Lepisosteus oculatus: one gene and its partners. The protein of the gene in region 1 interacts with the protein of each later gene in a biochemical or structural test. Links are inferred from orthologs where the notes say so. Each region holds a gene or a part of one and is shown in the gene's direction. Other genes may lie near its edges. The genes, in order: apoptosis regulator Bcl-2, fkbp8 and nr4a1.

Region 1 (7,341 bases):
TAACACAAAACTACAAAAGCAGTGTGGCCCTGCTTGGTATTTCTTGACCCGTGGGTCTATTTGAATTATTCACACGTTTTGGTTTTGTTTTTACATCTAGTATGATGGTCTCCAGAAAGATTGATATTTAACTGATTTAACCTCTTCCATGATTGATACTGACTTTTACATAACAAGATTATGAAATAACTGAAGATAGATAATAAGGACAACAAAAAATGATTTATACTCCATTGAGTTCCAAAGTGGACATGATGAACACAAATGTGCTTCTGTTATCTGTGTTTCTATTACAACATAATTCCCACATCCTTGCTTAAATTGCTGAAATCACTTGAGTCTATTCTCCTAACTTGATTTTTAATACTAAAAACTACAATATTCAAGTTTTCCAGTTTTTAGAAAAATATAAAAATCATTTAAAGGGGTGTCTGTTGTGTCGTACCTTGAACAATTCGTTTGAACAATTCTAATGTGCTTTAAATTAAAAACAAAATAATGTGGCTTCTCACGGATTGTGAAAGGCAGTGTATACTGTTTTCACAGATCAATTGACACGTGTCATTTTGAAAACGATAGAGAGAAAGTGCTGACTAGACAAGTTCATTGTCTGCTCTGGCATAATTAATTAAATGCAGACGCCGTTAATCTAGTAAAAGCACCTTGTGTTATTAGTCTTACAATCCTTCCCAGATTAAGGTCCCTAATCAGTGTTTTGAATGTGTACAGATCCTTACAGCAGTGTTTAAAATAAGAGGATCCCCAAGGTCTGTGATACCACTGATTGACAGCCGCCGTCTGGAATAACCTCCTCAGCTTCTCTCTTCCAGCCAGTGGAAAGTGACTCATTCTGTAGTCTGATTTTGTCAGGTCTCAGAAGGTAGGCAAAAAATTGGGAGAGATCTCGGTGGATCCGTAGTTAACACTTCAACTGGTGTGGGGTGACTACTTGGTCATTAAAGATCCCCACTCTGGGTGTGTAAAGCCTGGAGTGACTTCCCTCAATTCCCCTCTTAATTCAATAGATATTTGAGTAAATTCTCACTTCTCTGGGAGTGGGATTGGGGCTGTTGTACATCCCCTTGACAGGGGATTGATTTTATCATGGATGAAGTGGGTCCCCTCCTGGATGTGAAGGACGTTTGAATCTTTCATGATGAAAAGTCCTATATAAATGCAAGCAATTCTTATGAGAATAACAGGGAACAAGTCACAGTGTCTGCAAAGTGCTTTTTGTTTTGGTCAGCCACCACATCTAATGCCTGCTGCTGGCCATTGAGACTGGTTTTTGTTATTTAATGATAAAATTGTACAGTATATTGTGGAAAACAAACCTTCTGAGTCCATGTTAAGTCAGAGTCTTTGCAGGATGGGTTGTTGTCCTTAACGTGTGCCTGTGCTGAGATAAGAGAAAGAAAATCAGCAGCCATTCCTTCCAAAAAGGTCTCTGTTGGTTTTAGTTGGATATGTTTAATAGTTTTGCTGTTTATGGAGTGCCTTACAAAAATATTCATCCCCCTCCCATGGATACCCCATTATGCTGAATAACAAATGATGCATTCACATTTTTAACAAACGTTTAAGTTCAAGCTTGAATGCTCAAACGGAACACTTTGATGGATGAAAACAATTACGTCATTATGTCAGCAAAAACTGCAGAGAACCATTTAAAAAACAGAAACCTGTCACTTGTCAGTGCCTGCCCCCTTTGCTATGGGAAACATATTAGATCACGAACAGGACGCTACAAAGCTACTTTGACAAGTCACACAACTGAACCTCATCATGGATTCAAGTTCTGAAAAAAAAAAGCACATGCAGATTTCATCTGGTTCCTGGTTGGACATGTGCTTGGAGACTTCTCACACCAGGCGTGCGATTTCAGTTAACAAGAACGTCATTGTTCCCAGCCCGGCACTTCTGTTTCAGTTCAAGGAGAAACGTGACTGTTGGTGACCTATTAGAATTGCTCTGCTCTGTTCATTGTGTGAGAAAAGCAGGGGCCCAGTTCCCATAGATCCCGCTCCTAAAGCCTGCTCAGAGACTTGACGACTCGTGTCAAGATTAGATCAGGTATTCTGTATTTTACCGTCGTGGCTCTGTTGTTGTGTTTTACACGGAGCTGCCATCGCCGTTAAGACTGTTTTTATGAGGTATTTCTTACATGTCTAAGACTGCCCACTGCTGAATAAAACGGATATACAACAACTTAAAATTCTGGAATTCTGTGATAAAATTAGTTAGAACAATTTACGGTATTTTATTTTGTCCGGAAAAAAAAGTCTTCCCGAAACTGGCGTCCTCTAAAAGCAGGGAACACATTTTAACATCCAGTAGGTCTTTTCCCAGCTGGCTCTTCCTGGTGATGGAAGGAATTTAGATACAGATGGTTAAAAAAAAAGACAAATAGAATTCAGGACAGATGGACATAATGACGTAGAAAGGAAACCCCACTGAAAATAACAGAATTGAAAGCAAAGGAGAAAAATCTTCTAAATCCAAATGTAAATCTTGAAATCGTTAATCCAGCTTCTTGTTTGCAGTGCCTTCTACCAAAGAAAAGTAAATGAGACTGATACCCTTGGAAACTGGAACTGCTTATGCATGAAGAATGATGACAGCCTGTTACTACAGCCTCCTAAAAAATTAAATCTAAAAATCCATTTTCCAGATGGCATTGGCGTCTACCAAATGTGTGCCTCAAAAATCTGGACGAGAAAATGATTTTCAAATGAGGACAAGATTAAAATTCCTTGAAGACATTAATCCACAATAGAAAAGGATTCTCACAATGTAAACGCAATGCATTACAAAAGTATTTACTCTTTTCCACTTTGTGAATTTATGAATCGTGTACACAGATTTATAAAGTGAATAGTTTTAAATCCATTCAGCTAAAGCCATACAACTAATGGTGCGACTTGTCACTGTAATTGTGTGCGCCCAAATTAAAGATGTGTCATTATAAAGGGTGTGAATCAACTTTTTATTTGATTTTTTCTTTGCAGACACTTCACTTCTTTCACGCACAATGAAGTTTCGAGCATTTACCTTTCGATTAAAAATAAACACGTTAAAAAAGGTGTAGAGAGAATTTCTAATTCAACAACATGGAACATCACTGGAAGGGGTGAATGTTTTTACAAGGCATTGTAACTGCAGACCGATTCCAGACTGATTTCGGGAATTCAGCTTCGATAGGATGTCAGACGTCTTTATTTTTCTCATTAATTTCATATGTCATGTAGAATTCCCGCCTCCACTCTTCAGTGCATCATTTATCTCAAATATTTTACGTAAAGTATATATATGTACAGTATATGCACGGTTCGGTATTTTAATGGTGTTGGTTAACAATTGCCCCCACTTTACGATCCTGAATAATTGCTTAAAAATATACTGTAGGATGATTAATATTGTAGCGAATTCGAGTTCTCTAACTGCTAAAGTGCACTCTCGAGAAACACAAGCTTTGGCATAGATTTATATTATATATGACATTTACCTATTTAAAATGTATTTCATTTGCACTTACTGTAAAATCATTCAAATCCGTCTTCGGTAAAGAACTCGCTCGCTTGATATAATTTTGGCGACATCGATGATCGTTTTTGTGGTACAAACCTAATTGTGGTGCAAACAATATGTTCCGAAACACAAATGGCAGCGCCGGGGAATTAACGATATTGGACTTGGAACCGATGTTAAATAATAAAAATCGAGCGGAAATCTCACAACAGGTGAAGCAGCCGGTCGTACAGTAGCCCCGCCATCAAGTGCTGCCAGAGTAACTAAAAAAATGAATGGCGTGACGTAGAGGAAATACCTCACTCGAAAGGAGTAACGTTATATATAATGAGAGGCAGAGGGAGTGACGGCGAGTGCAGTTGTATCAAAGATTTGTTGCTCACATACTATGTAACTGCAGCTTTAACGTAGTTTTTGCCGTGACGGTGCAAGGAGCAAGGCTTAGTGTTATTTTCTTTCTAAACTTGAGATCTTTTTAATACATTCCTCGGCGTCTTTTTGTGTGTGTGTGTGTGGGAGACTCTCCTAGTCGATTTACTTAATCTGGGATAAAAGGCATTTCGAAAGCTACTGCTGTCTCTTCCGTCTTTCAAAGGCGCTGTTCAAATGTCACTGGGATAATTCAGCGCCGCAGGACAGCAGTGCGGTTTCGTCCAAGTTTTGGATGTGTTCAAGTGATTATCTCGAATTAGGAATCTAAGTGGATACTTCCCAAATTGCTGGATTTGTGGAAAATATATTCTAAAGGATACGCGAAAACTTGGTACTTTTTTTTCCCACGGATCTTTCTCATTGCTGAAAAGGGGCGTAATAATTAGAATAGATCAAACATTCCTGGCGGATTGCTTGCGGCTCTGGAGCTGTCTAAACGCCTGTAACCGATGAAGTAAGTTACCCAAAGTTTATAAAGCGATAGCGCGGGATGTATAGGCAAAGTAGAAAATAGATGATAAAATTCGGTTGTAGGAAAATGCATATTTAAATCCAGATAGACGATATTAGCTCCGACTGTTTTCTCCGGCATTAGAAAATTGCTCTCCTGGTTACGAAGAGTAGTGCATTCACCGCATAGCACGATTTCTTGATGTTTGACATTCATTTCTTTTAGAACATTTTGGTTTGTAATGAAGACTGTCAAGTCTGCGGGAAAAAAAAGGTGAAGTGTTAAGTATATGTTGTAGCTGCAGTTTACGTGTTGCAATGCACTTAAACGCAGGTTTTTGCAAATAGTAGAACATTGCGGGTCACCCAATAAACATGCTTTCTGAAAAATATAGAATGTCGTATTAATTAAAAGTACGTTTTTCAAAGTTTGATAATGCCTATATTGGGGCTTCTGAAGCCGGTGTGGAAATGATCGGTAAAGGGCAAACTTCATTCTTTCTACAATGCACACGTCTAAAATGCACCGATATTAAAGTGCGTGTTTAACTCGGGTAATATTTTTTATTTAATTAGGGTGTTTGCATTGGAAGATGTCTCTAATGTGTCTGGGTTTCGAACAGCCGCGGTGTTTTTACAGCATGGCGTGTTATTGATCCTAGCCGCCTTTTTGATATTGGTATTTTTAAAGACTGGTGGGAACACCAGAAATAATGTATGCATTGAGTCTGGTAGTAATAATCATCTGTATTGTTGAATTACAGAATATATAGCAAGCCGTTTACGAGTTTCTGTTGGAAAATGCACGTGGCATAGGACTGCTTGGACTTGCTGGGTTTGGTCGCGGCATTTTGAGTCCCTAAATAATGGCAAATAACGAAGCCCCGTACGATACTCGGAATATCGTGACAAAATACATCCATCACAAACTCCTGAAGAAGGGCTACGTGTGGGAATCCCGCGTGTCCGGCGAGACCGATCCCCCCAATAACGGATTGGTGGGCCCCTCCGCCTCGGGTCCGGGGCTGCAGGCGCGGCGGCTCCAGGCTGCCGGGGCCGAGCGCGGAGCTGTCCCGGTCCCCCGCCGGACCCCCCCGCCCGACCCCCACGCCGCTCTCCACAAGGTGCTGCGGGAGGCTGGGGACGAGATCGAGAGGATGTACCACCGGGACTTCGCGGAGATGTCGGATCAGTTGCACTTCACCCCCAACACCGCCCGGAGGAAGTTCACCGCGGTGGTGGAGGAGCTGTTTCGGGACGGAGTCAACTGGGGGCGGATTGTCGCTTTCTTCGAGTTCGGCGGGACGATGTGCGTGGAGAGCGTGAACCGGGAGATGACGTCCCAGGTGGACAACATTGCCAACTGGATGACGGAGTATCTCAACGGGCCCCTTCAGAACTGGATCCAGGAGAACGGAGGCTGGGTGAGTTTGGTCACAACGTGCAAAAAAAAAAAAAACAATAAAAAATAAATAAATGCAAAGTGTAATTGAGGTTTTGCAAGATTCCCTGTTTTCCTCAAATTTCTCCCTTCCTTAATGATCTCCGCAGAATCGATTTTTCCCCATAATCTCTTGTGATAGTGTTGCCTAATTTGTCGCACCATTCAATGCACGGTTTGAGTATTCAGGTTATACCCCAAATCCACGCACATACCTGCTGAAATGACAAGGGACACGCCTAAAACCTGTACATTTCCTTGTCTTTGTTAAATGGATTGAAGAACATGCATAAAAGCCTTGATTGTCCCTCACAATGGAAAGACATTTCCTGTCATCTGTGTGGCGAAGCCTGCTCTGTAAGAGGTCACCTGTCCGAAGGGAGCTCTGACCAATTAGGTGCGCGTTCCCTGTCACACCCCCTTCACGCCTACTAGACATGACGAAGGGTTGCCGTGTCGTGAGCTGTCAATTTCAGCCTGTGATGAAACTGGGAACATACAGTACTTCACTTCCAGGACATCTGGGCTAATGTCACACGAGTGGTTCGGAAGACACGTTAAAAAGAAGGTTTATAATTCTGAAAAGAGGGCTCGCCCAGTCCACAAGGGTTTAATTTGACGCCTTAACTTGCTCGGGAGGAAGGGGCGTACTAAGGTGTTTTACAGAAAGCCTTAGAAAATGTTGTATAAAACATTGAAACTTTCATAACACCTGACTTAAACAGTTACTATAACCTATTTCTGCTTATTTGGTAACGCTCTTGCTAAAACACTTTAACGTACAGAAAAATATTATGACGAAAAAAAGGCAGCCTCGCTTCACTGTAGTAACACGTATCTGCTTGTGCTATGAGGGAGTTTTTTTTTTAAGACGGGGGATACCAGCAACGTTTTCTTTGGTTTTCAGGATTCTGTGGTGACTAGTGGCAATTTCCCAAAACATTTTGTCACTGCAGATATTTACTAGTCTCTAAACTATAACTGGATTATAGCTCCCATATGAAGTCTTGCTGGTTTCTAAACCTTAAATCACTGTGTTGATCACAATATTATTTAAATAAACCACGTCTGCATTTAAATAAATGTGACATCACCTTCAAGAATGCAGCCACAGAGGAGATCTACAGCTTGCAGTTGTCATACATTCTCTCTGTTTGTTTTTGGGGTTGAACAGTCGATGCATCAGTCATTATTCCCATGATATCTGATGCTGTGAAGACATTAATCACATCTTCTGCAGGAGTGTGTTCTATTGCTCTTTTCATGTTGAAGAAACTCTTGTCATGGGTATACTTTGTGTGGTTATACAATGAAAGTCAGAAGAATACAAAGACCAATGAAAATAAATGAACGAAGCAGTAGTATGGACTGCTAAGGAACTACCCAAATCTTGTTTGGAGATCTAGGTGACTATGATTTATTTAAGCATTTCTAGTGTGAAATAGTTATTCATCAGACGTGCCTGGGAATTAATTAAATTTGAGTGAATA
Region 2 (7,866 bases), on another chromosome or scaffold:
AGATCAGAGTCCAGGTGGAAAAATGCAGCAGTGGTCTATCCCTGGCTGGTAATCATGCAGACCAGGATTACAAAGAATTTATTTCAGATTCTGAGCGGACATCCCAAGGGTTGTGCACGAAACCTCCTGACAGTCCGCCCCTGCTGGGGTTCTGTTTCACCTGAGCTGTCAATTACGAAGCTGAACTTATCATTCGCCTCTTTCAACCTTTCAAAATTGCTTTTCGGTCTTCAACTTATGAGATTCGTGGATTTCTTTCTATCACCTTTTCACTGAGCGAACTTGCAACCTGTGAGTAATGATATGGTGAAAACAATTAAGTCAATCAGATCAAGCCCTGACTGGCTCGATTAACTTAGTAGGCTCACCTTCACGAAAATGCACTGACCTCTCACCCTGCTGGCCCTTGGTTCTGATCTATAGGGTCCATTTAATCAGCCTACTGTAGACACCCTGCAGAGATAATCCTCCCCAGGCCTTTAGTGTAGAAATCGCTCTGTTCTGCCTCCTTTGTGCATGCATGGGCTGTTCTGCTTGTTAATAGGTGTGCATAGTACAACATGAGGTGGTGTGCTGCATTTACCAATGAAACACCTTTCCTTTCTTAACAGATAAGACACCTTTAAGCAAGCAGTTTTAACAAACAAGAGAGAAACCTGGGGGCTTAAGCAGTGCAGATCCTATTAGAAACATTGTCTCTGTTGTACCTCCTCCAGCAGCCCAGGAGTGATGTCGAGCAGTGATTTTTAAGATTAGGGGAAAGGGAGAGTGAGTGTGTGTGTGTGAGTGTGTGTGTGTGTGTGTGTGTGTGGGGGGGGGGGGGGTGTGCAACAGTTTGTGATATTTATTGACCAGTGCCATTAGTGTTACACCAGGCTGAAGGCTCAGACAAGAAATCAATAAGCAGGATTATTAGTGTGAACTAAAAAGTTACATACAATTTAGCAAGTTGACACTAATACCGGGGCTTGTTAACCACTCAGGCTGTGCACAGAGCCAGCCAACCTTGATATGCACAGCCTGCAGCGACCTGCCCCGCTGGGAAAACGCAGATAGATGAGGGAGCCACTTAGCATTCTGTGCCGATCAACCTGGTGCACACAACAGCCCCAATTACACAAAAACACAGCTCATCCCGAGCTTCCTCTTTTGCATGGCGGAAGGGCAGGAATGTGCAGCTCCTCCTGGTTTTTGGGAGGGAATCCGTAATGCGAGATTGTTGCAGAACTAATAGGTCCATTTGATGGGTGCTTGCTAGAGCCTCCTGGATCCAGATTAACTTAGGCAGGGGGAGGAGAGGAAGAGAGACCAAAATACATAAGAAACTAAAACTCTGATCGCATGTTTTGCCAATGGCGGTGCTCTGCTCTGAGTGAGGTTTATGTTTTTTAGCTTCCGGTGCAGGTGAAGTCCTACAGCGGGCCGCAAGGCACAGGTGTGGTTGAGATCATGTTGTGATGCTTTTTGCATCTTTCTGACTTACAGCCTTCTGCGGCTCTTACCGTTTGCAAGGGCCTCTGCTGCATTTAAAAGCGGCTGAGATCAGCCCCGCGGGGCCTTGGGTAAACGTCCGTTCCTCGTCTTTCACAACTGCACTCACGCACGGGACAGTCTGCAGAAAAGTGCGTGCCTCCATTCAATGAGTTGGCACTGAGGCCGACATTAGCTGATGCTTGGCTCACATCATGGCACGCACCTCCCCTCCCTGGCTTGACCTACCCTGAGCTGTCCGTGCAGAACTCCCAGATGCCAGTCAGGATCTACATGTGAACACCTCAGGAGAGTTCAGGAAGAAGCCTTGGGCCCAGGGGATTTGAGTCTGGCCCAGGAGGACTGCAGTGCGTTGGGTCTTCTTAGTCACATTAAGGCCAGAGGAAACGGGTAACACCGATCTGTTGAAGACTTCAGGAAACCTAAACCACCTGCTGTATCGAGGCTCTCAGGGGCTGTTTGATTGAAGTGCAGCCTCAACCTGACAATAGCAATTCAATTCCATTTCCTAGGCTGCAGGGCTTCAATGTCTCTGATTCTCCAACTGCAGCAATGCTGGGTGTGCACTCTTATCTGTGTAGTGCTCCTTAAACCCATCTCCACGGCTGTTGTGATTCAACCAAAGTGAAAGCACACAATCGTGCGCATTGCAGTGGGTGTAGCTGAGGGCTGAGCACTGTGGGCCCTGGCTGGTCAGAGTACATCATGTCTCTAACAAAGAGTCCAGGTGATAATAATAATAATTATTATTATTACTATTATTATTATTATTATTATTATTATTGCTTACACTTATATAGAGCTTTTTCTGGACACTCCACTCAAAGCGTTTTACAGGTAATGGGGATCCCCTCCACCACCACCAATGTGCAGCCCCACCTGGATGATGCGACAGCAGCCATAGTGCGCCAGAACGCTCACCACACATCAGCTATCAGTGGGGAGGAGAGCAGAGTGATGAAGCCAGTTCAGAGATGGGGATTATTAGGAGGCCATGATTGGTAAGGCCAATGGGGAATTTGGCCAGGACACTGAGGTAACACCCCTACTCTTTTGGAGAAACGTCCTGGGATTTTTAATGACCACAGAGAGTCAGGACCTCGGTTTTACGTCTCATCCGAAGGACAGCACCTGTTTACAGTATAGTGTCCCCATCACTATACTGGGGCATTAGGACCCACATGGACCGCAGGGTGAGCGCCCCCTACTGGCCCCACTAACTCCTCTTCCAGCAGCAGCCTCAGCTTTCCCAGGAGTCTCCTCTCCAGGTACTGACCAGGTTCACACCTGCTTAGCTTCAGTGGGTTGCCAGTTGTGAGTTGCAGGGTGATATGGCTGCTGGCTATCCAAGAGAGCAGCAAGAGTGGCTTGGTTGCTAAAACAGCTGTCTCACAGTGCTGGGTCCTGGGTTCCACTCTGAACAGAAGGAGCCTTCTGTGTGGAGTCTGCATCTTCACTCCACATGCCCGTGGCTTTCCTCCCAGAGCTCCCGGTTCATTTTACCTCACAAGGCTGAGCTAGTAAAAACAGCTGGTGTGTATACATTGTGCCTGTGTGCACTGCGATGCACTGGCCTCCTATCCAGGGTGGGGCCCTGCCTGGTGCTCCATATTGCTGTGATCTTTACCAAGATTAAGCAGTTTTCTCTGAATGATGGATAGAACACTTACCTGGAACAATATCTTCTCTTCCTCTCACCTGTATCACCTTAACTTGTGGAGCGGTCTTTGGCAGAGACAGAGTCTGAGCTGCCCTCCCCAGGAATCTGCTTCTTCTGCACTGTGGTGGTTGAGGAGGAGCTCATCTGAGGAATTCTCCTCGTGTGTTACCTGTGGGGGAAAGACTGTCTGTATCACCTGGACAATATTCACACCTTCTGCTGGAGGGCTGTCGGGTCTTCTGATCGCTATTCCACTCTGGACTCTTGACCACTTAATTGGAATCTGTTGTTCCCTCAACTGGTCTTCATTCCCAATGTTTTCAGCTCTTAACTCATTGGGGATTATTAAATTACCTAAAAAACCTGGTGGAGTGCAGACTTCCGGAACCTGGAGAGATTGTCACTCTATATCAGACATCACTCTTGATCAAAGCTCGGGTCAATAGGTCTCTCGATCAGTTCTCAACCTCAATGGTAACTGCCTATAATTCAAACCTTTTAGGTTTGGTGGATAACATATATTTTGGGCTGGATTGACTTCGGCAAAACTCAGACCTTTCACAGCTCATGTTAAGGGCTCCGTAAATGGTACAGGAATTCGTATCCACTCCTACTTGCATAAATCAGGGTAAAGTTGAGGGCCGGAACAAGGAGCTCTTTGGTTCAGAGTGTGCCTGGGATCTCATATGTAGGGGGCTCTCACCCTGAGGTCTGGTCCTAATGCCCCAGTATAGTGACAGGGACATTATACTATAAAACAAGGCACTGTCCTTTGGCTGAGACGTAAAACCGAGGTCCTGACTGGTCCAGAGGTTTCTCAAAAAGAGTAGGGGTGTAACCCAGGCGTCCTGGCCACTTTCCCATTGGCCTTTACCCATCATGGCCTCCTAATAATCCCCATCTCTGAACTGGCTCCATCACTCTGCTCTCCTCCCCACTGAGAGCTGGTGTGTGGGGAGTGTTCTGGCGCACTATGGCTGCTGTTGCATCATCCATCATCCATCATGTAAAGCGCTTTGAGTGGAGTGTCCAGAAAAGCCCTATATAAGTGTAAGCAACTATTATTATTATTATTATTATTATTAATTATTATTAACAACAACAATTATTTGTTATTTATAATTATGATTAAAACTCCAATTCTCTCTAAGTTCTTTATGTATACGAGAGAATCCGTTTCTCATTCTGCATAATAGGGTTTTGAAGTAAAAAAGCATTTGTTTAAATATTACAAAAAACATTATCCAGTGTTGGAGTGCAGTTTCAATAGAATAAAACCAGACTGCGTCTAAAGAGAACATTGCATCCGTATCATAACAGCTTCATAGGAAAAGTCATTTCATGAATATATTCCACCAACTTTTAAGAAGATTTCAAACCATGCAATGACAGAGTTGTGTTATGACTGCAAGAATCGAAGCGTAATTGCTTTCATTTTCACCCCACTAAGATGGCGCTGTAATTTACACGGGAGGATCACGCGTCACTCTAATCTCTGTTCATCTCTACGAGTGCGCGAGAGGGAACCGCCTCTACTTCCGGAGAGACTAGCGGCGGGACCATCTGTGCCCGGATGACTGAACTCTATGGTCTGAAAATGAGTGACAGCGGAACAGACCAATAGTAAAATGGAGTGAGGAGTAGAAGCCAATAGAATCGTGCGATGGGCGGGGTTAAAGTGTTCTGCGATTGCTTGGCGACCAAGGTCCAAGGTGACCAGGAAGAAATATGAAAGCTTAATTTTGATGGCGTCACGGCGTTGTATGAATTCATAACGTTGCAAGGTAAGGACGGTTCGCTTTGCTAACGACCCTATTCTGACTAGGAGAAACTCTTGCGACGCGTGTGAGAGAAACTGCAGCTTGGAGCTTTACACTTTGCCCTGACGCGTACTCATCACCTATCACCTCAGGCCAAATGACGCGATAAAGTCGCTTTTATTTTAAAAAAAACTTCGTCTCCGTATCTTGAAGCGCAGCTGATGCACTCCTGTGTGTTCAGTTTAGGCACTTGTCCCACGTGTGGTTTAGGGCCGGCTAGGAAGTGTACTAGTTGTATTCGTTTCATATTTCAGACTTCCATGACGTTTCTGCTCCCGTTTGCAGCGTTAAAATGTTTGCGTCAGTCATTTAAACTTTGTTTTGGTTCCGCTGAGAAAATGTGTGGGTAACTCGATTTATTTTTCTTATCTGGCGGTGGGTCCTCTACAGCGGCGATCGCAAGATTATTAATTTGGACTTCAGATGTTCGATTAGATTATATCACAACCCGCTTGCCCAGATGAGGATGAGCAGCAACTGCTCTGTTTCCTATAGGCTGTGTTCTGGTCGAATAAATCCGCAGCAGATCCCCCCCCAAAACGACTTTTCTTGTTGATCGATAAATGGTCTGAGTGCGAAACGCATCCCGACACCACCTGGATGTGGATCTCACAGCCCGAGACGGGATCAGATCGTACAACAGGTTGCACCGCCGGGCGGGGGGAGAGAGGGGTAGGCGGGTAGATCCGTGTTTTGTATTACGTTTGCGATTTCGCAGCCGATCCAAAAGGGCCTTCGCAGACACGTCCGTCGCTCCTGGCTCTATTAGCAACGTTACTTGCTTTTATTCAACAGGGCGATTTAACTACAGCATTCACGGAGCAGGTACCTAACTCTTAGGGAGGACGTGACTGGGAGGTCGGGTCATCTGGGGGCTGCAGTCGATGGGTTTCGTGTCTCCGGGTGGTGTCTGTTTTGGGTGGTCAGTGTTATTTTGCCTCTCCCCAGTTCAACGTGCTCTGAAGCGCAGATATGGCGGCCGTGGGGGACGCGCAGGAGGCGGCCGGCGGCGGGGCCGAGTCTCCGGGCCGGCGGCGGCGCACCTCCCTGCTGGACGGCGGCGAGGACTTCGAGATGCTGAATGACGAGGAGGAGGAGGACGATGATGATGATGGGGATCTTCCTCCTCTGGAAGACACCGCTGCAGGGAAGAAGGCGGCTGTTCGGAAGGAAGGGGAGGACGGGACTGGGAGTGAGCAGAGCCCTGCGGCTGAGCACTCCTCGGAGGGAGAGGAGTGGCTGGATGTCTTGGGTAATAAAAATAATAATAATAATATTTCCTCACACTTATACAGCTCTTCTGGACACTCCACTCAAAGCTCTGTACAGGTAACGGGGATCCCCTCCACACCCACCAGGGTGTACCCCCACCTGGATGATGCACCAGTCTGCTCCCCACACACCAGCTCTCAGTGGGGAGGAGAGCAGAGTCATGAAGCCAGTTCAGAGATGGGGATTATTAGAAGGCCAATAAGGGTAAAGGCCAATGGGAAATTTGGTCAGGATGCCGGGGTAACACCCCTACTCTTTTCGAGAAACACTCTGGGATTTTTAATGACCACAGAGAGTCAGGACCTCAGTTTTACGTCTCATCCAAAGGACGGCACCTTTTTGCTGTATAGTGTCCTACTGTACTGGGGCGTTAGGCTCCACACAGACCGCAGGGTGAGCGCCCCCTGCTGGCCCCACTAACACCTCTTCCAGCAGCAGCCTTAGCTTTCCCAGGAGTCTCCCCTCCAGGTACTGGCCAGGGCTGCCAGCTGGGAGCTGCGGGGTGACAGAGCTGCTGGTCGAAGGGAATGGTGATGTTCTGTTACCTCATTTTCATGCTTTTCCTTTATAACCAACTTCAGTATTTCATCCAGAGGAGGGTGGATCCCTGTTTTTCCTTGGATGTAAGAGGTTTTGGCTCCGGTGTCCTCCCACCGTCTAAAGACATACTGGTGGGTTAGTTGGCTTCTGGGAAAATTGGCCCTGGTGTGAGTGTGTGTGTGCGCCCTTTGATGGCCTGGCGTCCCGTCCAGGGTGTACCCTGCCTTGTGCCCGCTGCTTGCTGGGATAGGCTCTGGCTCCCTGCGTTGGATGAAGTGGTTAGAAAATGGATGGATGAGTGAGCTTTGGTGGGGGGCGTGTCTGCTTTTCATTCTGATCATCCCTCGGTCCAGCACCTCTTCCTTCTCCCCTTCCCTTCCTGTGTTCCGGGGACTGACCTTCTTCCCGCGCTCTCTCCGCAGGGAACGGGCAGCTGAGGAAGAAGGTGCTGGCGGCTGGCAGGGGCCCGGACAGCCGGCCCAGGAAGGGCCAGACAGTGAGGGTCCGGCTGAAGGCCTCGCTGCAGGATGGCTCCCTGGTGCAGGAGGAGCCCAGCCTGGATTTCACGCTCGGAGACGGCGACGTCATCCAGGTGGGGGGGTGGGGGGGCGGCTGGCCTCGTGTCCGCTTGCTTCCTGAGCTGCACCTCCGAAAGAGCATTTCAGGGTCCTTTCTTTCCAGTGAGCGTGTTTTCTGTCTGACCCTTTCATTGCGGTCAGAGAATTTGCCCCCAGGAAAGAATGGGACCCGAATGTTTTTCCTCACGCTTAAAAGGAACTGCCGTGCTATTTTGATATTTCAGGGTTAGAAAGAATTGGCATTCGTGAGGGCACTTCAAACCACAATGAAAGTAAAATGTACACAGTAACTTATAACAAAATGGACGTAATTTCCAGGTATGCGCAGCGCCATGTTCTGTGATTCAGAACGAGGCAACAAAACCTAGGGTGACGAGAAGCAGCCCTGTTTCATTGTAAACCAGCAGGCTTGTGAATACACCTCTTTTAATCCAGCTGAATATTTCTCTTGACTTCGGGACAGTTTTGCCAACAAATGCTGCTCGTTAACTTTGCCTGCAGATCT
Region 3 (7,004 bases), on another chromosome or scaffold:
TTCTGTGGTGTTGCTCAAAATAACAGAGATACAAAAAAAAAGGTCAGATACAAGAAGAGAAAAAAACATCATAAATAATACATATCATATTCAGAATAATATAGAATCCATGAATTTGCCCATAAATACTTTAATCAATACTTTTGTAAGTGTTGAGTTAAGAGACCAAATAGCCTCAGCAAAGGAGCTCTTCCTGAACTGCTCTGTTTTGGATTTGACAACATCCCAAACTCTTAACCTTCTCCCCAAGAGAGAGAGCTCAAACAGGGGAAAGCTGGGTGGGAGCGGTCACTTACACTCATCAGGGTCTTTCTGTTTAAATGTATTGCGTTTACGGAAGCAACAGATGGCGAGTTGCAGGCAGTTATTTTAGACGCAAGACGCTCAGTCCTCCAGGAACAGAGTGTGAGACTGGCTTAGCAGAAACAGAAAATGCAGTTATAGCTGCTGCTGCCCGGTTGCTATGCATTCAAGCAGTCTGTCAGTGGGCTCAGTCATTTTTGGCATCGCGGCCTTTAAGAAATGTTAAGTGAATTGTGCTGTGGTGACAAAACTAATTTCTGCACCAAAAACTCATCGTGTTTCCCCCGTGTGAGACTGACAGTACTATTATGTGCACAAAAGGATGGAGTGTTATAATAAGAAGTGCCAGTGCCAAATAATTGGAGGAGCTAGGAAAGGAAGATTTCATCTCCACTTCACCAAGGCCCTGTCCAGCTTCCAAGTGCAGATTTAATTATAAGAAGAATTGCTTACACTTATATAACACTTTTCTGGACACTCCACTCAAAGCGCTTTACAGGTAATGGGGACTCCCCTCCACCACCCCCAGTGTGCAGCCCCACCAGGACAATGCAACTGCAACCATAGTGCGCCAGTACACTCACCATACACCAGCTCTCAGTGACGTGTAGCTATTAGCTATCAGTTCATAGATGGGGATTATAAGGAGGCTCTGATTGGTAAAGGCCAATGATGCCCAGATTTTACCCCTGCTCTTTTCAAGAAACACCCTGGGATTTTTAATGACTCTCTTTAAAGAGAGTCAGGACCTCAGTTTTACATCTCATCCAAAGGATGGCATCTTTTTACAGTATAGCATCACCATCACTCTACTGGGGCATTAGGACCCACACAGACCGCAGGGTGAGCACCCTCTACTGGCCCCACTAACACCTTTTCCAGGTAGCAACGTTAGTTTTTCCCAGGTGGTCTCCTATCCAGGTACTGACCAGGCTCACACCTGCTTAGCTTTAGGGAGCTGCCAGTTGTGAGCTGCAGGGTGATATGGCTGCTGGTGAAGTATATATATGTATATTATCTGTATACAAACCCACAAATGCTAAATAAATGCCTTAGTAAAAAGCAGCATTAACCACAATGAAATACGTGTACTTTCACCTCTACATTTCACCATGGAAGGCTTCACCCCTGTGCCCTGTGCTGGACTGGCGTTCTCTCCAGGTGACCCTACTGTCCGCCAGGTGAGACTGTGGCTCACTGCTGCCCTGTACTGTGTCGGACTAAGCGGTTTTCGAACATGGATGGAGGGAGCTGGCAATGTCCACATTCCCGAGATCACGTTTTCCTCGAAACCAAGGATACCAGGTTAGATACCGCTACTGCCGAAGACAGAATTTGCCGCTATACGAGAAACCCGCCCGCAGATTTCGAGAGCCGTGGGCAAGAGCCTTTTCGCCGCAAACAGCCGGATCTCCGGCAGGTGGCGTCAGTGCCTTTAGTCACAAGGGTTCTCGGTTTTAAAAACGGGCTGTTCTTGGTAAAGGAAGAGACTGCAAGCGGAAAAGGTCGCTATTCTGAAACGAGATGCGTAAAGGAAAACGTACGAGGAGGCGAAGACGACTTTCATTAAAGCCAGCGGAAAGGCAGCTTTCCGTCCAACCAGATCGCCCAGTTGTAGTGTCGCATGCAGGCCGCTAGGTGTCATTACGCGGCCGTGTTGCGATGAAGTTCCTGTCGATGGATATATTGAATATCTTCCTTTGCCGACGGAACTCTTTCAGTTAAACTCTGTCGATTATTTAACTGCCTCAGTTCCCGAGAGTAAAGTTGCATAGAAATGTGATAACATTTAACGAAATTGCTAACAGTATCATGTATTGGGAAAAAAAAACCAAAACAAAACATGGCCGTCTTTATTTCAATCGATAGATAAACGTGGGTTCGTTGTACCAGACGTTTTGAGACATGATTGGATTTAAGATATTGCCCTTCAAGGGAAAGAAAAGAAATTAAAGACTAAGGTGGTGGGTTAGGGGGTTACAGCGTCCTGAATTACGGCGTTCGGTTCTGGTTTCCCTTCGCAGTCCTGTCGATAACTCCTGTGAGATGAACTTGCCCCGTTCGCTTCGGAACAGAGGAGTGCTCGGGGCCCGCTGTCCGTCCGCTTTTCCGGGTCTCTTTCAAACTCTTTCCGGCAAGGTGAGCCCTCGGCTTGTTCGGTGGAGCGAGCGAGGAGCGAGGGGCTGACGGGATCGGGTGGCGCGCGGCTGCTCCAGGTGTTCGTCTCGCTGAGGCGCGGGGAGGCCGCGTGACTCCAGCGGTTCGGTCTGAGTGGCGAGCTGTCGGCAGGCCGGGACTGGCAGCCCTACTAGTGTCGGACATCTAAATATAAAAACCCCACCTCTCGGTTTACCTCTTTTTTTTTTAATTCGAACACACTGAAAGTAACTCGATAAGGACACTGGTGTTTTAATACGGTCAAAGAACGCAGGAGCCTTCCCAACTATTTAATAACAAGGCTCGCGTATCTCGCTTAATGTATTATGTTACTGAGACTTATGTAATCACGTTTCCTCGAGTAGTACTTTAGGGGTGCAAATGCCTGATCCCCAGATGCAAAATTGATCTAGAATCTATAGGAAAAACCCCGAGCAGCATAGAAACATTCGTACACGCAAAACGAGACAAAAAAGAAAGAAAGCGACGCTTGTGCACCGGAGTCATTTGCTGGGGTGAATTAATCGAAATGTCCGTGGTGATTACATCGCTAGAGGAAGGGCCCACGGCTGGACCGAGGGCGGCATGAACGGGTCCCGCCGTGTCAGAGAGGAAGACCGAAGAGTGCAGCCCGTTAGCCTGCGAGCGCGGGTTTGAGGGGGACGGCCGCAGGGCGGACCTCACTGGGGCCCGAGCGCTTCACGTCACGGTACGGCTGCACTGCTCGGCCCGCAGGCCGGGCGACCCGCTGTCCGTGTGGAGGGCAGAGCGGTCCTCCTGGTTAGCGGAAGGTCAGAGAGTCGGGAAAGAAAGGAGAGACGTTTTTCTTCTGACAGCCGAGAAGTCTCCGCCAACTGAAAAAGTGCCGGTGAAACAACGAAAGGAGTTGCACTAAGGCACTGTAAGGTAGGCGAGAAAGGATTTTTTTTTTTTAAAAAAGGCTTTTTACAGAAATTCTTATTTAAAAAAAACACATCAACATTTGATTTATATCGACCTCCAACCGGGCCAAGAGATGAATTGCATCTGCAGTATGTGGGCTTGGGAGGGTGAGGAGAATGCGAATCTTGCTTGAGAGTCAGCCAATAAGGGCAAAAAGATTAGCGGCCAAGCCAGCTGGATGACTCGCGCGGCCGTCCTCCCGCTTGTGCAGGGGGTTAGGACCCCTCACTGGAGGGCTGTGGGATTGCTCCTGCAGTCTGTAGGGGGGGGCGGCTGAAGCGGGCCTGGGGATGTAGCTCAGTGGTAGAGCGCACGCTTCGCATGTGTGAGGTCCCGGGTTCAATCCCCGGCATCTCCACTCGGATTTTATTTCGCGAGAAGTAGGACATTATTTAATATATAAATAAATACAAGAAAGACCCGTTATAGAAACTGGGAGGAAGGCATTGTATGAATAGTGACGGCCGGCGTGTTTTGGTTTTTCAGGTTCTGCACTTTCCGATTCCGCCACCCCAGCTTTCACAACTGCCGGAGACATGGGGGGGCTGAAGGTGGTGGCGCTTAGTCGTGCCCGTTGGGATCAGGACAGCTCGCTCGCAGCACGGTGAAAGTGCACAACCCCCACAGAGGCATGCGCGGTGAGAGCCTAGCGTACGACTACAGCAGTAATGAAAGGCTCCGACTTGTCGGTCTCCTCTGCATATCTCCCGGTACAGCTTTAAAGAGAGCCTCGCATTTTTTTGTTTTGGAGACTACGAGGAAATGGGAATTTTTTTCTGAGCACGGAGGCTGCGCGTATGACTGCAGATGTAACGTTCACCGAGGCAGTGGAAACTCAAACTGCCATATAAAAGATAAGCGCCTACAGATCTCCCTGTACAGGAAGTCGGTCGGAAGCGGCGATTAAGGTTAGCTATACAGCAAAAATGTGAATCGTGTGTGTGTGGGGGGTCGTCCTTTACTTTCTCACGTCTTCGCTAAAGGTGCTATAATTATCTCGTCTCCATCTGTGTGCGTGTCACGAAACGGACAGCAACGACTTTCTTTTTTTCTCGCTCTTTTCTTTCTTTCGGTAGGCTATTTTTAGGTCGCCTTCACGTTTGTTTTCGCCGGCCTCCCTCCCAGAAGGGCCCGGTGTCGTCACCGCCAGGGATTCCACCTACGTCAATCGAGCCCTTCATTGACGTCATCGGAGAGACTTGCCCCTGTTTCTGAGCCATAGGAGCATCTGATCGTTCTCAGGCGAGGGGAAGTGCTTAGCGAGAAAGAGAGAGAGAAAAAAAAAGAGACGGCAGCAGGACTGGAAAAACGCCGGGCGGAGGGGCGTCGGGTTACACAGGCGAACGAAGAAACCCCGGCTTTCTTTTTGCGGTCCGACTGGTTTCCCTGATGCATATCGCCATGGCGTGGAATGTGAAAGATCTGATCAGAAGACAGGGGCGTCTTTGTGACGGCAGGAATCCTCGGAGGCGAAAAGAAAGAAAGCAGCGAGGAAGAGAAAGTGAGCTTCTTTTCCGGGACGGGAGGCGGCTGCACGGCCGGTTGGGCTCGCTGTCCCGGGTGAAGCGCGCAGCCGGGGGACGCGCCAGCGGTGACGCGCATCAGGTAAGCGAGTACTCGGACACTGTGAGAGCGCAGCGCTCGAACGCACTGACGGCACTCCCCCAAAGCAAGATTACTGCAGATTACTGCAAGTGACGCGTCTGCCTGGTTGTGTAGCTGTGTGTTTTTGATGTCGGGAGAGCTGCCGTCTGCTCCACGCGTGGGCAGAACCCCGCAGATCCTGACCCCCAGGGCCCCCACCGGTACCAGGTGGTTCTGGCAGTTTGCAGATTCCGGCACAGTTGGAGAACCTGTTAAAACAGAAGACGATACCACACGAGGAGGAGCTGCGAACACTGTGGCAGCCGCAGCAGAGGAAATCCATACAGGGATTCAGGAGTGGGGAGACACCTGGCCTGGTCTGACAGAGGGCCTGGGGCAGGAGGCAGGGCGGGGCACGGTCCTGAGGGGAGCTGGAATGGGATGCTCTTAAGAACGGTTCTTCGCGACTCCTCATTGAAGTCTTCTAGAAGACGTGAGGACGTAGTATGAATTCAGTAGGAATGACAACACCCGGGATGAAAGCTGCATGGAGCCAAATTGTGGTTTAACCCGCTTGGCTGAGGGCTGGCCTCCTGGCCAGAGGACAAGGAGACCAGGACCCCCCTGCAGGCTGACCAAGGGGCAGCTGCAGAGGTGGAGGTGGGATGCAAGAGAGAGAGAGAGGGATCTCGTAGGTATTTATAGCATTTGGGAGAGAAGTGGATTGTCAGGAGCGATTGCTAATTACTGACAGCTGAGTCTGATTGAACTTAGTTGTTGTCACCCCTCCCAAACTTTTGTTATAAACACCAGTCTGTATAGTGCAGTTTTTGTGCCAAAGCTCTTTGCATAGGATAAGAAACCTGTATATGATTTCCAAAAAGCCTAATAAAACAGACCTCAAACATTAGGATATATAAAATAAGATCTTTAAGATTGAATTGTAAATTGAAGAACTAAAATCAAGGGACATTGTACTACAGCTGTATGGTGCATTTACTGAACTGGACTATTGTGTGTCATTTTGTTCAGCACTTTATAAAGCAACATTTCTTTGGTTACATTCTGGCTCCGCTGAGCGACCAGATTAACGCTTGGCCTTGTAAGAAAGTTCTATATCTAGAGATAAAAAAAAATCTGTTTAGTCCAAAACTCTGAGAACAATGTAGGGATTTTTTGCAGTGTACAAACCCATGAACCCACTGACAAAGTTGGCCACAGTGAAGGTTAAGATGAACTGTGGCAAATACAGTAGATCAGGGGACACCAGCAAAAAGCTGATAATACTGTTGTTATCTGCATCGATACTGCATCTGCACAAGGACAGGCTAACACAGGCAGTCCTTATCCTGAGACACGAATTCTTCAAATTAAGATAAATTCCACACATCCAGTGTGTCCTGTTTGTATCTGGGGGGGAGGGGTTGTGACATTTGTAAAACAACAGATCATAATGTAGGCAAATATTTTCAGGTTGGGTAAATTCTGACAGAGATGCATCTATTTGTTCTAAACATGAGGTTGAACACCAGTGCCAAATAATTGGAGGAGCTAGGAAAGGACGATTTCATCTCCACTTCATCAAGGTCCTGTCCAGCTTCCATGTGTTCACTTTTAATAATAATAATAATAATAATAATTGCTTACACTTATATAGCGCTGTTCTGGACACTCCACTCAAAGCGCTTTACAGGTAATGGGGACTCCCCACCACCAGCACCAGTGTGCAGCCCCACCTGCATGATGGAACAGCAGCCATAGTGCTCCAGTACCTCACCACACACAGCTCTCAGTTTTGTTTCAAGTCTTGGCTGGTTCCCCCATGATTTGATGTTGTGACCCCCCTCCCCTTGTCCATACATCCACCCTAGCTGGAGCCTGTCCTAGCACGCACTGGGCACAAGTTGGGGTGTGTCCTGGAAGGGACCCCAGCCCATTGCAGGGCACACACACAGTTGCAGCAGGGCCAGTCTTACCTGAAGCCCATTAACCTACCTGCATGTCTTTGGGCTGTGGCT

What was found.
Region 2: the proteins of apoptosis regulator Bcl-2 (region 1) and fkbp8 form a complex in vitro, tested with the Homo sapiens proteins (4 studies listed by BioGRID, with this or other methods). The link is inferred for Lepisosteus oculatus from reciprocal best matches to the Homo sapiens genes BCL2 and FKBP8.
Region 3: the proteins of apoptosis regulator Bcl-2 (region 1) and nr4a1 form a complex in vitro, tested with the Homo sapiens proteins (2 studies listed by BioGRID). The link is inferred for Lepisosteus oculatus from reciprocal best matches to the Homo sapiens genes BCL2 and NR4A1.

What each region holds. Positions count from the first base shown.
Region 1 is NC_090701.1:10,513,310-10,520,650, forward strand, and holds the start of apoptosis regulator Bcl-2, read left to right. Parts: upstream 1-4,324; 5' UTR 4,325-4,414; intron 4,415-5,174; 5' UTR 5,175-5,276; coding exon 5,277-5,834; intron 5,835-7,341. UniProt on the Homo sapiens protein: Suppresses apoptosis in a variety of cell systems including factor-dependent lymphohematopoietic and neural cells. Regulates cell death by controlling the mitochondrial membrane permeability. Appears to function in a feedback loop system with caspases.
Region 2 is NC_090724.1:8,155,748-8,163,613, forward strand, and holds the start of fkbp8 (peptidyl-prolyl cis-trans isomerase FKBP8), read left to right. Parts: upstream 1-4,824; 5' UTR 4,825-4,935; intron 4,936-5,119; exon of another isoform or gene 5,120-5,614; intron 5,615-5,685; exon of another isoform or gene 5,686-5,796; intron 5,797-5,919; 5' UTR 5,920-5,943; coding exon 5,944-6,223; intron 6,224-7,205; coding exon 7,206-7,375; intron 7,376-7,866. UniProt on the Homo sapiens protein: Constitutively inactive PPiase, which becomes active when bound to calmodulin and calcium. Seems to act as a chaperone for BCL2, targets it to the mitochondria and modulates its phosphorylation state.
Region 3 is NC_090696.1:15,679,494-15,686,497, reverse strand, and holds the start of nr4a1 (nuclear receptor subfamily 4immunitygroup A member 1), read left to right. Parts: upstream 1-3,900; 5' UTR 3,901-4,310; exon of another isoform or gene 4,311-4,478; 5' UTR 4,479-4,791; coding exon 4,792-5,007; intron 5,008-7,004. UniProt on the Homo sapiens protein: Orphan nuclear receptor. Binds the NGFI-B response element (NBRE) 5'-AAAGGTCA-3'. Binds 9-cis-retinoic acid outside of its ligand-binding (NR LBD) domain.